Linked DNA regions of Rhinolophus ferrumequinum. Each later gene encodes a partner of the first gene's protein in a complex. Links are inferred from orthologs where the notes say so. Each region holds a gene or a part of one and is shown in the gene's direction. Other genes may lie near its edges.

Region 1 (7,342 bases):
GCTAGGTCCTTAGTCTTGCACATAGTTACCGTTTGGGGACTAAGTGGCAACGTCTGCTCGGGACCCGAAAAGCAATTAGAGAATTTCCAAAGCCATGGCTTAGCGTCATTATCTTGTTGAAGCCATCCAGGTGTTCTACTGCAGGAGTTCTCAGTTCCGTTTCCTTCCATCATACAGCCACACAAAGTGGTTCAACATGCTTTCATCTTTCTTTTCTTTCATTCTTCCACCCTGTTAAGTAAGAGAGATTTCATTGTTAGTTATATGCATAAGTACAAAGTTTACTATTAAAATGTGAGTCTGCAACTGTATTTATGGTGCAATGGCTCCCAACAAGTCAGATCTTAAGGAACTAAAGTAGAATGGCTATCAAAGCATACTATAGGTTACTAAAATTTGGTAAACCTAGTTGACTGTTTATGTTTGAACTCTAACTGTGTCAACCGCATTTTTAAAAAACTATACTCTTCCATTCCTCATGTTCCATTGTTCTTCAAATAGAAAGGAACTCTGGATGAGACCTATTTCTTTCTATAAACAGCCATGCTTGACAGAAGTAGCCAAATCTTGGACACCTGCATATCCCTGAGTGTAACCGCTCCTCTTCACATGGCTGGAGCCAACCTCCAGCCCTGAGTTGACTTTTGCTATAGTTTTTCCTAATTCTTATCGACTCTCTCTCCCTAAAGACTCTACTTGTGAGAGTAAAAATATTAACAGTAGAGAAGATGTAATTTTGGTCAACGAACAACCACATGTCCTCATTACCAATTACGTTAAGATTTTGACATTGGTTTAAGAGCAGCTTATCCCAGTGTCTTTGACATGAGCACAGAGGGTTCAACTAAGTGACCTCTGTGGACTTTGAATTTGATTGTGTTACAGAACAAATCAAACCAAGTTCTATTTACTTATTATGACAGTGGAGTCTGGTATACCACCACAAATCTAACAGAGAAATCTCAAGTCCCAGATGTACTGTATCTACTCCGAGGCAGCTACACTTAAACAGTACAGTAAGAGCAGAGCAAATCAATAATAGCCATTGGGCATGGAGGCAGCCTGCCAAGGGCAAGGACAACCGAATCCCACTTCCAAGTCTTCCAACAACCACCCACTCTTACCTACCGTGGCCATCTTAAGGTTATCAATTTATGTTTCAGAAATTTACTCTGGGCCTCTAGAAAAGAATTTCTTTTAGTTATCTCTCTGATGAGATGCTGTTTTCAAGTGGTTTAATGTCCACATAGTAAGGTGAGGGGCAAGATGACCATGCAAGAATATATATATGTAAGAGCTGATTGTATAAAGCAGGGGTGGGCAAAACCAGCCCTCTGCTTGTACCTAAATGACCTTCAAGCTAAGAATGTATTTTACATTTTTTAAAAATTATTAGAAAAAAATTAAAATGTTTTATGACACAAGATTATATGAAATTCAAATTTCAGTGTCTATAAATAGTTTATCAAGACATGGCCACAGTCACTTGTTTTAAGTACTGTCTGTGGCTTGTTTTTGCACTACAATTACAGAGCAGAGTATTTGCAACAGAGACTTACATGGTCCACAAAGCCTAAAATATTTACTATTTGGCCCTTATGCTGAAGCCACAAAACTTCATTAAATGTTGGTTTCTTCCTCTGGAAAGTGTGGCTGATTCTTCTCCTGTCCCCTCTCACAACATTATTGAGAGGGGAAAAAAACTTAGATAAAGGAGCCGACCACCTGTTTGTTTTCACCACTGTATTGCCTGTGCCAAGCACAGGGCCTGGCTACTTAGAAGAGACTAAGTAAATATTTGCTGATAAGGGAATGAATAAAGCTGTTTACCTAGTATAGGAGTATACAGTTAGGAGTTAATTGGGATACACAGATGGAGTTTACTGCCACAATGTTAATAAATCATGGTACTTGTTTTTCCTATTAAATACAGGTCTTATATCTCCCCACAATCTCTTCTAGATCATGAGAATTTGTGATGTGCAACAGGCTCTCGCAAACCTCTTCAAGGCCAATCCTGAAAGTGTGCTGACAGGTAGAGTACAATATAGTTTACTAAACATTGTTCTTTAACACTTATAAATTCAGCAAATGTTTACTTAGTATCAACTATGTGGCAGGCCTGTGCTTGGCACAGGGATACAATGATGAAAATGACCAGACAATGATATCCATTTTATGTAACTTTTTTTCCACAGTAAATCTGAGATAGACAAGAGAGCAACTGGCCACATCTTAAACAGAGAAGGAAACAGAGTTTTGTAACTTGCCCCATATCACACAATTAGAAAGGAGGCAGAACCAGGTCTGTCCACCTCTTTCTACCACACCAAGGTGACTTCACTATTGCTCAACAGTTAACAGAAAGTACAAATAAATGTACTATTAACTTGTTAGTGACCTGCACCTGGAAAATTTTCCCAAACATTCCTGGGAATGCCACTAAGGGACTTAGGTAGCCAAAGCGAGTTTGGTTTGAGTGGAAGTCTTACTTCTGCCATCATCTCTCAGTCTTTGAGCAATTAATGGTTGAGAGCAGACTCTGAAGTCAGACTGGCTTGCCTGTTGATCCCCATTTCTGCCGCTTCCTATCTGTGCAGCTTTGGATAACTCACAAACTCTCCCAACCTCAGTTCCCATCTGTAAAATGGGCCTGATAACAACAGTAGCACCCTTATAGGGCTGTTGCTTGGATTAAAAGAGATAATCGAAGTAGAAACTTTAGCAGTGGCCTCCTCTTAACACCCAATCTAGTCCTCAAAGGCTACCCCACCACATCCCACCTCACAGCTCTTTTATCTAAAATTATCTTGTTTATTTGCTTGTTTTTTATTATCTGCTTCCCCCACTTGAATATAAACTCCGTGACATCAGGGATCATTTGCTCTTACTCATTTTTGTATCCCCTGCCTCTAGCACAGTGCCTGGCACTTATCAATAATTGTTGAACGAATGAAGAGTTCAATAAATATCTAGTAAGACCATTTAAATTAGGTTTCAATTTTTACCTTTCAAAGATGTTGGGAAGTCCAAAAGACACAAATGTAACTGGAAAGCTCTCGGTAATACCACAAAGGTGCTTGGGAAACTCTTAAAAGGTATCAAGGTGTCGCGTTACAATTAGTAGTGGGAGTGGCTTAACCCCTACGAAAACTCAACACTATCTGTCAAACCAGACGCTACACCGTAGAGTGCTGGAAAACTGAGGATGCAAAAAGCTCAGCGGGGGTGCAAAAGCACCCGCCCCGTCTTCCTCTCTTAACCTTCCAATTGTGCTTTCCACACCGGGAGGGCCCACAGGGAGCAGGGAGACAGGTGCGGACGGCGAGCCAAACACCCCACCTCCCAAAAAAGGCAGCAGGGGCGCAGCAGTCACAGTCTTGAGCGGACGTGAAAGGGAGACAACCTGAACCTTTAGTGGGAGCCTGACTGGTTGGCCCCAGTCCTTCCCCTAGGACTGGTCAACCTCCCCTACCCCCTCCAGCAATAGGCAGAGGAAGGGGGGGCACTGTCTCCCCGACAGCCTGGCGGTCCCAGAGCAGTGGGCCATTCAAGAACTAGTTCCCAGAGCTGCCAGCACACTCACCTCAGCCGCCAGCTCCACCTCGGCTCACATTCCGGCCCCACCGCCTTCCCCCCGCCCCCCCAGGCCCTTTGTTTTGATTCCCGACTCCGCCGCTCCCGCCGCCGCCGCCAAGCGCACCCTCAACTTCCGCTTCCGCACCGCACCACCCCTGTCGCAAAACCGACGCCCTTCTCTCCCTCTCGCCCCGCCCCTTCCTCCACCCCTCCCCCGCCGCCGCGTCCTCCCCGCGCGGGGCGTGCTGGGAACCCGGGGGGGGCGGGGCCTCGCGGCCCTGCAGCCTCGTCAGGCTCAGTCCCCTCCCGATAAACCCCTAAATAGGGACCTTCCCGGGGGGCGACCCCGGCTTTTTTGGCAGAACCCCCAAGTTTAAGAAGGTCTTCCTCCTGGCTTATAGTTGTGGAGTGGAAAGGAACCTGAAAGCGGAGAATTCGGGAGCTTGTGAGGTGGAACCCGGGGAAAAACCTGCCAACCAGGATTTGGTACAATTCAGTTCTTTCGATCTTTTGAGGGAAAGCGACTTAAACGGGATGTCGATGAAAAACCATCGTTTTGCCTTTCTCCTCTCTCTGTCTGTCTCTCTGTCTCTCTCTCTGTCACACACACACACACACACACACACACACACACACACACATCTTGTCACGTGATTCTTTTTTTTTTTTTAATTAAATGACGCATGTTTTCCACACCATCCTTAATCTAGTGCAACCTAGTGGCGAGTGGAGAAAAAAAAAACTGCCAACTGAGCTGACCGCCAGGTCCTTCCGGCCCTCAGGGTTTCTCGCATAGTTACGACCCAGCTGGCAAAGATAAAGTGGGAGAACTAAGACGAGGCTGGATGTTGTCACCGACAATTAAGAGGTCCTCGTGTCTTTTGTAAGATAAACTAATTTTTAAAAGCCCTGCTCCAAAGCTCCTTAAAAAAGAACACAACTTTTCTAGTGACAGGTTGGGCGAGCAGAAAGGAGACCTTAATAATTGAAAAAGCCTTGTGAAGCCAAGCACAGCTTTTATTTTAGGTGGATAGATATGCCACGTTTGGGTTTTGTTTTGTTTTGTTTTTCTTTGCCTCACAATCTACTTTTACCTAAAATTAAGAAAATACACAACAATTTTTTTTTTAACTCACTAGGCACAATTATCATTTGTGAAACTGCCAGCTGCTCACTATTTCCTGTTGCAAATTAGGAGACAAACAAAGCATATAGAGCTACCTGTGAATCTAGACATAGTTTAGGATGTGCTATCTGAATACTATGGAAAAGTTTACTTCTGAAGTTTGACAAGAAACAGGTTCACTTTGCCAAAGAGTCAGCAACTAGAGATGGCCCAAAGAACTTTTTTCCCCCTGCAGTCTGCAGTGTGAGGCAATTTCATCAGGCAATTTGCAGTAAGTGGGGTGAATTTCAGGGGAAGCTAATCCATCCCTATAGACATCCTTGTAGAGGTGTTGTGGAGGGCAAGATCAAACACGTAGCTGAAGAATCCTTTGTGATTGAATTACATTTTCCAGTACGCAGATGACAAGTACACACACATCATCTGCTTGCTTAGGTATTTATTACTTCTGAGTAAATCTTCATTGGATCTGTGTGTGGGGAGGATTTTCCAAGTGGGAATTAGAACAGATGGAAAAGCAACCCTGTTTCTTGCGTTTTTTTTTTTTTTCCAAAGTACCAAACCAATGTGCTTCTCTTTAGGGGTGTTTTTCTTTCTCTTTTTTTTTTCTAGTGGAGTATCTCTGAACATAGACCACAGTAACTAAAAATATAAAAAAGGAAACAAAATAATTGTGGGTTTTTTCATTGCTTTTTTAAAAAGAGGGTTTAGCCACAAAACATTAATAAAGAAAGAGCAAACACATTTTGTTTGAGTTTGCTTGGCATTCTTTCAAGTCCAGAGCTGTGCCTGGTCTCAACAGGTTAAATGCAGTAAATGAAAATGAATCAATCATACAAAATGGAAAGCAAACGAAAAGTCTAAATTACAAATAATTTTTAAAGAAATGCAATTTTTTTTTTTTTTTTGTAGAAAACTAGCCTGAGCAGAGTACACTAGCCCTTGGAAGCAGGTAATTATGAATCAAAATACAATTTGATCTTTATGAAAGAGTGCTTTAACCTTTTTAAGATATATTTTCTTAAGCATAGCCTCTGTTAATCTTGTTCCTATTTCTTTGCTGGGCAAACTCTTTTCTCAGAGAGTAAGAGTAAGTTTCAGTATTTTCCTTATCCAAATTATAATCTTCATATTTATGAAACCAGGATGTAGATTGATTTTTGTGCTGTTTAAGCAGCTACTTTACATTCAATTCAGCTCCTAAATTAATCTGGCTGCCACCAAAGGAGTTTCTCCCCGATTAACTTCTGTCTATGTTAGGTTAGATTTAATGTCTTGAAATGATAAGTTATGAAAGAAGGATTTAAGAGAAACCGAGCTTTGCTCATTCATACCTGAATGCTACAAGGAAACTAAATTGAATAAAGAGAGGATAATGTGTTCAAGTACCAAAATTTCCCATTCGTTTTTAAGGTTTTACCTAATGATATTTACCTAAACTCCTATTCCTGAAGAATATTTTAACGACAATCATTTCAATGTCCTCTCCCCTTTTTCAAATGGAAAATGAAATTGAAAAACCAACTAGTTTCAATGACTTGTGTCATTTAGTCAGGACTGGTACCTCATCAATTCGTGCTTCAGTTCATCTGTAAACTTGGGTGATAATTCCCGGTCCAGAAACCTCCCAGGATGGTGAGGGTCAATAAAATTCGGGAGTGAAAGAAAGCATAAAAGCAAAAATGTCAAGAGAATACAAATGATTTATTAGTGTTTAGTATCTGGGACCCGGATGGAAGTTTCCCGAAAGACATTTGGGTACTTTCCTTAAAACTGTTGATGTAGGTGGTGGTTCCCTTTTGCGTCTTTGAGCTTCAGGAACTAGCAAAGAGTCAAAGTAGAATTAGAGAAAAGTCATTCTTAATCTTGGCAGGGAGGCAGCAGGGATTCTGAGTATGGTTGAAATCCTGAGTAGCTGAGATCCCTGTGTGTCGAGGTTAAGTGCTGAAGAACACGTGTGGAGAACTCAAGCCGACCCAGCTTTAAAGCCTGATTTAAGAAATAAGACCTTGGGCAATGCATTCAACTTCCCGCACCTTAGTTTTCTCTGCTTTCAAATGAGGACAATAAAAGTGCTTTCCTGTGGTTCTCATCATTTTGGTCTCAGCTCTGTTGTCATTTCCTAGAGTGGCCTTCCCTGACTATTTTCTCTGAAGTGACTCCTCCCCAGCCCCTTTCTAACACAGGACCTTGCTTTTATTCATAGCACTTATTGAAGTCTGAAAATCGTTTTAACTTTTTGTTTGCTGGTTTAGTGCGTTTCTGTGTTAATACTGTAAGCTCTTTGAGGACAGGCATCTTGTCTGACATTTATTTTGTTATAAGCATGAACGCTCAATAAATGCTTGGTGAACATTTAAGATTGCTGTGAGAATTAAATGAGAAAAGCCATGTCAAGAGGTTAGCATTGTGCCTGATATATAATCAATTAAAAAAATCACGATCACTTAACAAATACGTAATTACCTAACTATGGGTCAGGCACTGTTTTACAAATGCCAAGTTAACTCATTTCTCCTCTGCATAATCCTACCACGAACCCCCTTTTATAAATGAGGAAACTAAGTCACAGAGAGGAACTTGCCCAAGATCACACAGCTAGAAAGGGGCAGAGCCAGGATTCAAAGCCAGGCTCGA
Region 2 (7,493 bases), on another chromosome or scaffold:
TGTTGAATAAATATTAACATGAAGTGACTTTTCATTTCCTGCAAATCGTAAAACCACCCAAGGAGACAGAATAAACGTGAGTCTATGCTGCAGGCAATGGCAAAGTGTGGGCTGCTATGGTGGTTACCCACACATTTGGGAGGGGCCGGTTGTGTTAGCTCCTGACTCCATGCTCCATCTCCTGACAGTGGGCAGACTGATGGAAGGAAGCATGGCAGTGGCTTTGGATTCCCAGGTGGCCATTCATCATCAACCACTGGACCCATGCAAGAGTATATGATCTATCATGGATGTGGGTCAGACTTTGCATTTGATCGCATCAATCTAAAGATTGCAAATTACGCAATTTGCTCATTGATGATATATAGATTAAGGATGATGCTACCATTCACTTTTTGATTCAGTACTCCTTTTTAAGCTACGCAGTGAAGAAATCAGATTTCTGGTATTTCCTCATATACTGAAATTTTATCTGACCTAAGGATTGGGATCAATAGTTCTGCATTAATGTAAGAAACATGCTGAATTTAGTTTCTAGGCAAACTGGAAGAATGTGATATTGATTTGAAATACTGAAAATGTATATATTATATAAATATGTAAATACATATAAATAAATATATTAGATAAATATTTCAATATACAGAGGGTTCCCAAAAAATGTATACACATTTAAAAAAAATTTTTTTTTATTGGAGAACAGTGTGTTTCTCCAGGGCCCATCAATTCCAAGTCGTTGTCCTTCAATCCAGTTGTGGAGGGCGCAGCTCAGCTCCAAGTCCAGTCACCGTTTTCAATCTTAGTTGCAGGGGGCGCAGCCCACCATCCCATGCGGGAATTGAACTGGCAACCTTGTTAAGAGCTTGTGCTCTAACCAACTGAGCCATCCGGCCGACCCTGTATACACATTTTAAGGAAAAAACTATTAAAATTATACTACAATGAATGATGCTAGCATTCATTTGATTCACGCCATCTTTTGAGCGAACGTCATACTACACATTGCTACGTAATTCAATTCAACTTCGAAAAGTAATACATAGATAACATCTCTTAAAATGTGTATACATTTTTGTGGTACCCCCGGTATATTGAAAAGTTATACGAGAAATGTTTCCTCCCCCAAATTGGGATTTTCCTCCACATATTATTTGGTAATGTTTTTTCACTTAATATTATATGTTGTTATCTAGTTTCACTCTGACTTTCCCTTAAAGTAAAATATAATGGATTCTGAATTACATTTTATGCTTTTCTCCCTTCTTAGTATAGCTATACAAGAACATCTATGCAATATTGAGGACAAATCTCTATTTTGGCCAATGACTTGGGAAAAATATCAAATTTCTGATGATTTAAATATGTCATGTAATGGTCAAATTGCCTACCATTGAGTTCTGTGTTTTTCCTTGTATGTAAAAAGTATACAGATACGCCTGGAGATATTTCAGGTTCGGTTCCAGACCATGAGAAAGCGAGTATTACAATAAAGCGAGACGTAATCTTTTTGCTGGGGGAGGGGGTCTTACATTCAATTCGTAAAACACACAACATCTGTGAAGCACAATAAAGTGAAGCCCAATAAAACGAGGTATGCCTGTAATCAATTTAATTATAATAAGTATTTATTATACTTGAGTCTGGAGCCCACTTGTAGCTTTTCATCAGAGGTACCAGAGGTGATGTCTTTCAGACTCCAGCTTGAAATGGAGTATTGACTCCCACTGCTCATAGTACTAAATGAATAGATGTCATTTAAGGAATCATTAATGCCTAGCAACCTTAACCTCTTTTTCCTTCATGAGTGATGCTTTAGATGTTTACAGAACATAAAGACAAAAAGTCCTAATTAGATGAAGGGAGTCAAACTAGGTCAGTTCTTCAATGGTTTCATCAGTAAACAAGTTCATGGAGGAAGGGAGATAGAGACCATCTATCTCACTTGTGTCAGCTTGCCAACCACACACATTCCACAATAAAAATCCCCCAAACTTGCCCTTTAGGGAAAAACCTTTTGACCCAAACTACTCTTGCACTGTCAGATCAGTTAGGTAAAGAAGTGAATGGTGGAAGAGACCAGACAGAATATATGAATATTCTTAAGTGTCAGTTGGCTAGTGACCAAGTAATATCTCAGAAAAAGTAACTTTCCTTATTCTTTCTTCAGGTGCTGACTATAAGCTACACTCAGATATGTTTGCATGCTTCGCTTACATTTTGGAACAGCCTAAGAATCACTTGTAGGACCTTCTAAGAACCTGTTTTTGAAAACTCTTGGATTTCTCAAGGCTTACTTTAAGCCAAGATACAATAATTTTGTAAGAGCACTTGTTAATAGCTGGTTTGTATTAGCAGTTGAAGAGATCAATTCCTATTCCATCACTGTTTGATTATGATTGAGATACAATTTTCAGGTGGCTTTTCCTTAGTGACCCTGGGCATTGCTTGTTGCATTTTAGTTCTATGTACATGACACTATGTATTTTTTTTCTTTTGGAAAATTCACTGTAATGTTCTTATATGTTTTATTGTGTAATTTTAATTATTATGTGTTTTAAAATTAGATAATGGATATCTCTTCCCCCTCCTTATTTTCAACAGATCTGTATTTTATAAACCTTTACTCATATTTCCTTGGGGAAATATCCTGCATGGATAAAAGAAAAATTCATTTAAACTCAAACTAGAACTCAATCTTTTTTACATGCCTAATTTTCACAAGTATTCTAAAACTGTCTTTTATATTTGCGAGAAACTCAAACATAACCTTTCCAGTGCTGAATGAAAAGACTGCATTGGATTCATTACCTGAAAATGACTCCCTGAAGAGCCAGAGGTTATTTAATGATGATTACCTAGCAACTCATAAACGTGAGATCTTTCTCTTGGAAAATAAACAAACTAAATGTACCCCACAAAATATATTGAGGTTACTAAAAGCCCCTTCGGTCTCCAGGGGTCTTGTATCGGAAGACCCAGGCACTCAACTCCGTATCAGTAATTAAGAATAGCTTCCCCATGGGGCCGGCCCGGTGGCTCAGGCGGTTAGAGCTCTGTGCTCCTAACTCTGAAGGCTGCCGATTCGATTCCCACATGGGCCAATAGGCTCTCAACTACAAGGCTGCCAGTTCAATTCCTCGACTCCCGCAAGGGATGGTGGGCAGCGCCCCCTATAACTAAAATTGAACAAGGCACCTTGAGCTGAGCTGCCGCTGAGCTCCCGGATGGCTCAGTTGGTTGGAGTGCATCCTCTCAACCACAAGGTTGCCAGTTCGATTCCTCGAGTCCTGCAAGGGATGGTGGGCTGCGCCCCCTGCAACTAGCAACAGCAGCTGGACCTGGAGCTGAGCTGCGCCCTCCACAACTAAGATTGAAAGGACAACTTGAAGCTGAACAGCACCCTCCACAACTAAGATTGAAAGGACAACTTGACTTGGAAAAAAAAAAAAGTCCTGGAAGTACACACTGTTCCCCAATAAAGTCCTGTTCCCCTTCCCCAATAAAATCTTTAAAAAAAAAAATAGCTTCCCCAATACCGCCTTTTCCCATTACTGCTTTATATTTAGATAACAGAGCCAGTATTGTAACAAGAAAAATTTTTTTTAATTTATTGGGGTGACAATTGTTAGTAAAATTACATAGATTCCAGGTGTACAATTCTGAATAAGAAAAATTTTTAAATTTAATTCTTTTAGTCCTCAAATCACAGCTGTTTTCATTTTTCATCTACCGGTTTGCTTTTTGCGCATTCGCTTTCTCATCGTAATCACAACATCCTGTGTTTGTGCTTACGCGATGGGTTTCTTCCCAGTTTACGTAAACAAAGATAATAAGTATTATGTCGTGCCCTCTCTCACCGGAAGGCAGCCGGAGGACACGAGGGAGAGCCGGCCGCAAGAAAGACCTTGGTTTAGCAAGGAACAGCAGTCGGGGATTGGGCGAGGCAGGGGCAGACAGCCACCTCGAGACCCCAATTACCCGGGCCCCGCCCCGCGTCCCAGGCCCCGCCCCGCGTCCCAGGCCCCGCCCCGCGTCCCAGGCCCCGCACCACCTCCCAGGCCCCGCACCACCTCCAGGGCCCGCCCCTGCCCGTCGCCATATTGTTGCCTCAGCGCTAGGCGGGAGCAGCCGGAGTTGCATTCGGGCTGCGCTGCTACCTTGTCCATCCCGCAGAAACCCCGACCCTCTCTGTTTCCTCATTGCACCTGGACCGGCTAGCCCGGAGCTCCCGGACGTCCGCCGTGTGGCCGCGAGGTGAGCGGGGCTCGGACTCTCGGGCTTGGCCGGGGGCCAGGTGCTGGGGCCGGAGGCCGGGGCCGGGGCCGGGGCCGGGGCCGGGGCTGGGTCCGCTGGCTTCGGGGTCTGAGGTGAACGCGCGGGCGGCGGGTAATGCCTGGGCCTCGGGCAGCTAGCTGGGCGGGGTGCACGCGGGGCCTGCGCGGGCCACTCGCCGGCCCCGGGAGGGGGACGGCTTGTTGCCCCCCTACCTCCTCCTGACTGACGCAGGAAAGACGGGTTCCCACACGCACACACCGGGGAGGGACACACACCCCCAAACACCCAGGGAGGGAGATACATATACACAATCCCGGGAGGGAGAGAGGCACACGCACAACCCCCGGGGACAGACACATACACCAGCCTTTCCCCCAACCACTCGGGGCACACACCCACACACCCCAGCCCACCCAGACCAAACCCGCCCCCGAGTGGTTCCTGTAGAGAAAGCAAAGGCACGAGTTGATGTTGGCGACTTCTGACTCGCTCCCTCGGTGGACCCTTGCTAATGTGTTACGAGCACTCGGGTGAGGGGTTGGGAATGTACAGCCAGTCCTGGGGGCTGGAGGAGGTTTGGGGCGTTACCTGATTCAGGCTGGCTAATGTTTCCGAATCGCGCGTTCCTTCCTTTCTTCCAACTTAACTATGTAAAGAGGCAAGATGAGAATTTTAAGTGCTGACCAAGTCGTTGTGGAGGTGTTAGTTTTGTTGTTTCTTTTTAAGTGATGACACATCCCGTGACCACGGTTCTTTTGAGGAATGACTTTTCTGCTAGTTTGCAAATTGTCACGTGACCACATTCGTTTTATAGGATTTCAGCGTCCTGATGAAAGCAATGGACAGAATCTGATTGCTTTTTTAAAATTAAAAAACATTTTTTTTACTTGTTTATCCTTCAGTCTCTGGCACCATGGTTATGGAAAAATCCCTAAATTGCCTGTAATCTCAAAAACTGGTCAGTGGAGCAAAACTGTAGAGATGAAGGAAACCCAGAACTCTTCAGTCAGGGGTGTTTAAGAGACTGTTCTTAATTTTTCTTTTAGAAGCTTATGTTGAAGTTACAACGGCTTGTCCAGAACTCTTAGTATCTTAGATTCCCAAATCTAAGACAATGGTGGGGGGGGCAGTCTGGTGCTTTCAGTGTCTTTGTGTAGACATTGTAGTACATTTCTCTTGCTTATACTAAAATGTTTCTGGCTTGATGACATTTATTTTGGAGAGTTTTGTGATGTGAGGATATTTTTGGCTTATCATTTGTGAGGTTGGAGTGGACCAGTGAAACCTAAGTAGAACATCTTTGGCCTTGATTCCAAGCTGGGTTCTTGGAGATCAGGGAGATACTTGAGTGCTGTTCCCTCTTTTCCTACTTCTTCTTTTCTCTTTCTATCTCAGCTGCTTCTAACCGTGTAGGCTACAGTACTCTGGTGGCCTGAAATTAAGTTCGTTTGGTTTTAGAAGTTCATTTTTAGCCTCCCCTAATATCTTAACCATTTCTTGGGCAGCTACACTGGCACTGGATGTTCTGTCCATGTAAATCCTGTACATACATAATTTTATTTAATTTTCACAGCATTTCTGAGGCATTAGTCCATTTTACAGATGAGGAATTTGCTGGGGCACAGGAGGGTTCAGTCTGTTTCCCATAGTCACACAGGGCAGACCAGGATTCAAAGCAGGGGACTTTTGATAATGTCAGCAGGCATTTTTGGTTCACACCTGAGAGTGAGTGCTGCTGGCTTCTAGTGGGTAGAGGCCAGAGATCTGCTCAATGACTTAAAATGCACAGGACAGCCCCCCACAACAAAGAGTTGTCTGGCCCAAAATGTCACTAGTGCGGGGATTGAGAAACCCTACTTTACAGCAGTCCGAGTAACTTCAGAGCTCACATTTTAGTGCTTCTCTAGTTCAAATGCAATGTTGTTTTCCTATTTAGGATTCTTCCTCATTATTTTAAGAGCAGGGGTAAATTTGAGAACTTGAGATTTCCCTTGACTAAGAAGCATATTCATTCATTTGAAAGATTAAGGACTGAGAAGATAATTTTCTGATAACAGAATCCTTTTTTTCTTAGGGCAAAAGTGTCAAAAAAAACCCCAAAAAACTTGAGAGCCATTCAGATCCCTTGAAGTAGACTTAGGGAGTTTGGTTTCTGTATTATTCGAATTGTCAACAGACATTTTCTGAGTAGCCTGTCAGGCACTTATACAAAGGTGCTGGTGATTTGGAGGGCAGTAGGAGCTTCCAGTCTAATTACAATCATAAGATCAGGTTCTGACTTTGTCCTAGAACAAAATTTACTGCCTGGGCTACTCAAGGTCAGGCACCAGGTGTCATTAAAAAAAAAAAATACACACAAACAAAACGGGCACACACACAGGTACAACATGGCATTTACTGTGGGCAGACTTAGGTGAAATGAGAAGTTGCTGCCCTTTTGATAGCTTTGTAGTTTGACCACATGTGAATATTTAACAATCAAATTGAGTAGCCATTCTTGTTGAGCATAAACCTCTTCCTTAAATTTAGCCTCAGTAGACGGTAGTTATGCATGCGTTTTATCATTGAAATCAAGAAATAAATGATGACATTTTTTTAAAGAAAGACTTTTGTGTCATTTTCTTTTCTTGCATTTTCCAGCCTGTTTTCACCAGGCCTGTCTAAGACTAGGCCTTTCAATATATGTACTGCTTCATTCTGGTGGCAAGTGTAACTTTTAGCTGAACTTTGGGAGTGACTGAGAGGAGTCAAAAGGGCTGGTTCTGTTTTTAGGAATCTTTGTGGGTAGCTTTGCTTTTTGACTCATGCTAATGGACAGTGTGTTCTTTGCCAATGACTAGATTTCTCTGCCTCATATCAGGAGTTGTCTGCGTGGGGTAGGGGGTATTCTGAATTATACAGTTTAAAATGATCACTATGGCTTGGGATCCAAGGAAGGAAAGTGTGTTCTTTTCTTACTGGAGGGGTTTTATTCTGGGAAGGGGCAAGAGGAATGGGTGCAGGAAGAACATCACTGGCCTCAGAGGAGTCTTACTCCATCTGTAGTTGGCTTGCCACTCTGGCCAAGTTAGGTCACCACATTTCTTTCTTTGTAAAATGAGACAGTTGTACTTTTAAAATTTCTATGAGATTATATGACACCAAGTAGAGACATCAAATTATTGGCTTCTAAGTAGTTCTGCCCCAGGCAATTTGCTGGTTAAGCAGCAGAAGGAAAT

The links.
Region 2: the proteins of NDE1 (region 1) and RAB9A are in contact, whole or in part, in a crystal structure (PDB 7E1T), measured with the Homo sapiens proteins. The link is inferred for Rhinolophus ferrumequinum from reciprocal best matches to the Homo sapiens genes NDE1 and RAB9A. Residues at the interface, in NP_001137451.1 of Homo sapiens: Asp99, Gln102, Thr103, Ala105, Ile106, Gln109, Leu110, Tyr113; in NP_001182257.1 of Homo sapiens: Ile40, Val42, Phe44, Asn46, Gln59, Trp61, Arg68, Phe69, Ser71, Leu72, Pro75, Phe76.

Annotation. Positions count from the first base shown.
Region 1 is NW_022680357.1:13,404,604-13,411,945, forward strand, and holds the start of NDE1 (nuclear distribution protein nudE homolog 1), read left to right. Parts: upstream 1-3,858; 5' UTR 3,859-4,065; intron 4,066-5,617; 5' UTR 5,618-5,657; intron 5,658-7,342. Other genes in the region: MARF1 (meiosis regulator and mRNA stability factor 1), read right to left, coding at 30-173. UniProt on the Homo sapiens protein: Required for centrosome duplication and formation and function of the mitotic spindle. Essential for the development of the cerebral cortex.
Region 2 is NC_046284.1:116,493,228-116,500,720, reverse strand, and holds the start of RAB9A (ras-related protein Rab-9A), read left to right. Parts: upstream 1-4,075; 5' UTR 4,076-4,254; intron 4,255-7,493. UniProt on the Homo sapiens protein: The small GTPases Rab are key regulators of intracellular membrane trafficking, from the formation of transport vesicles to their fusion with membranes.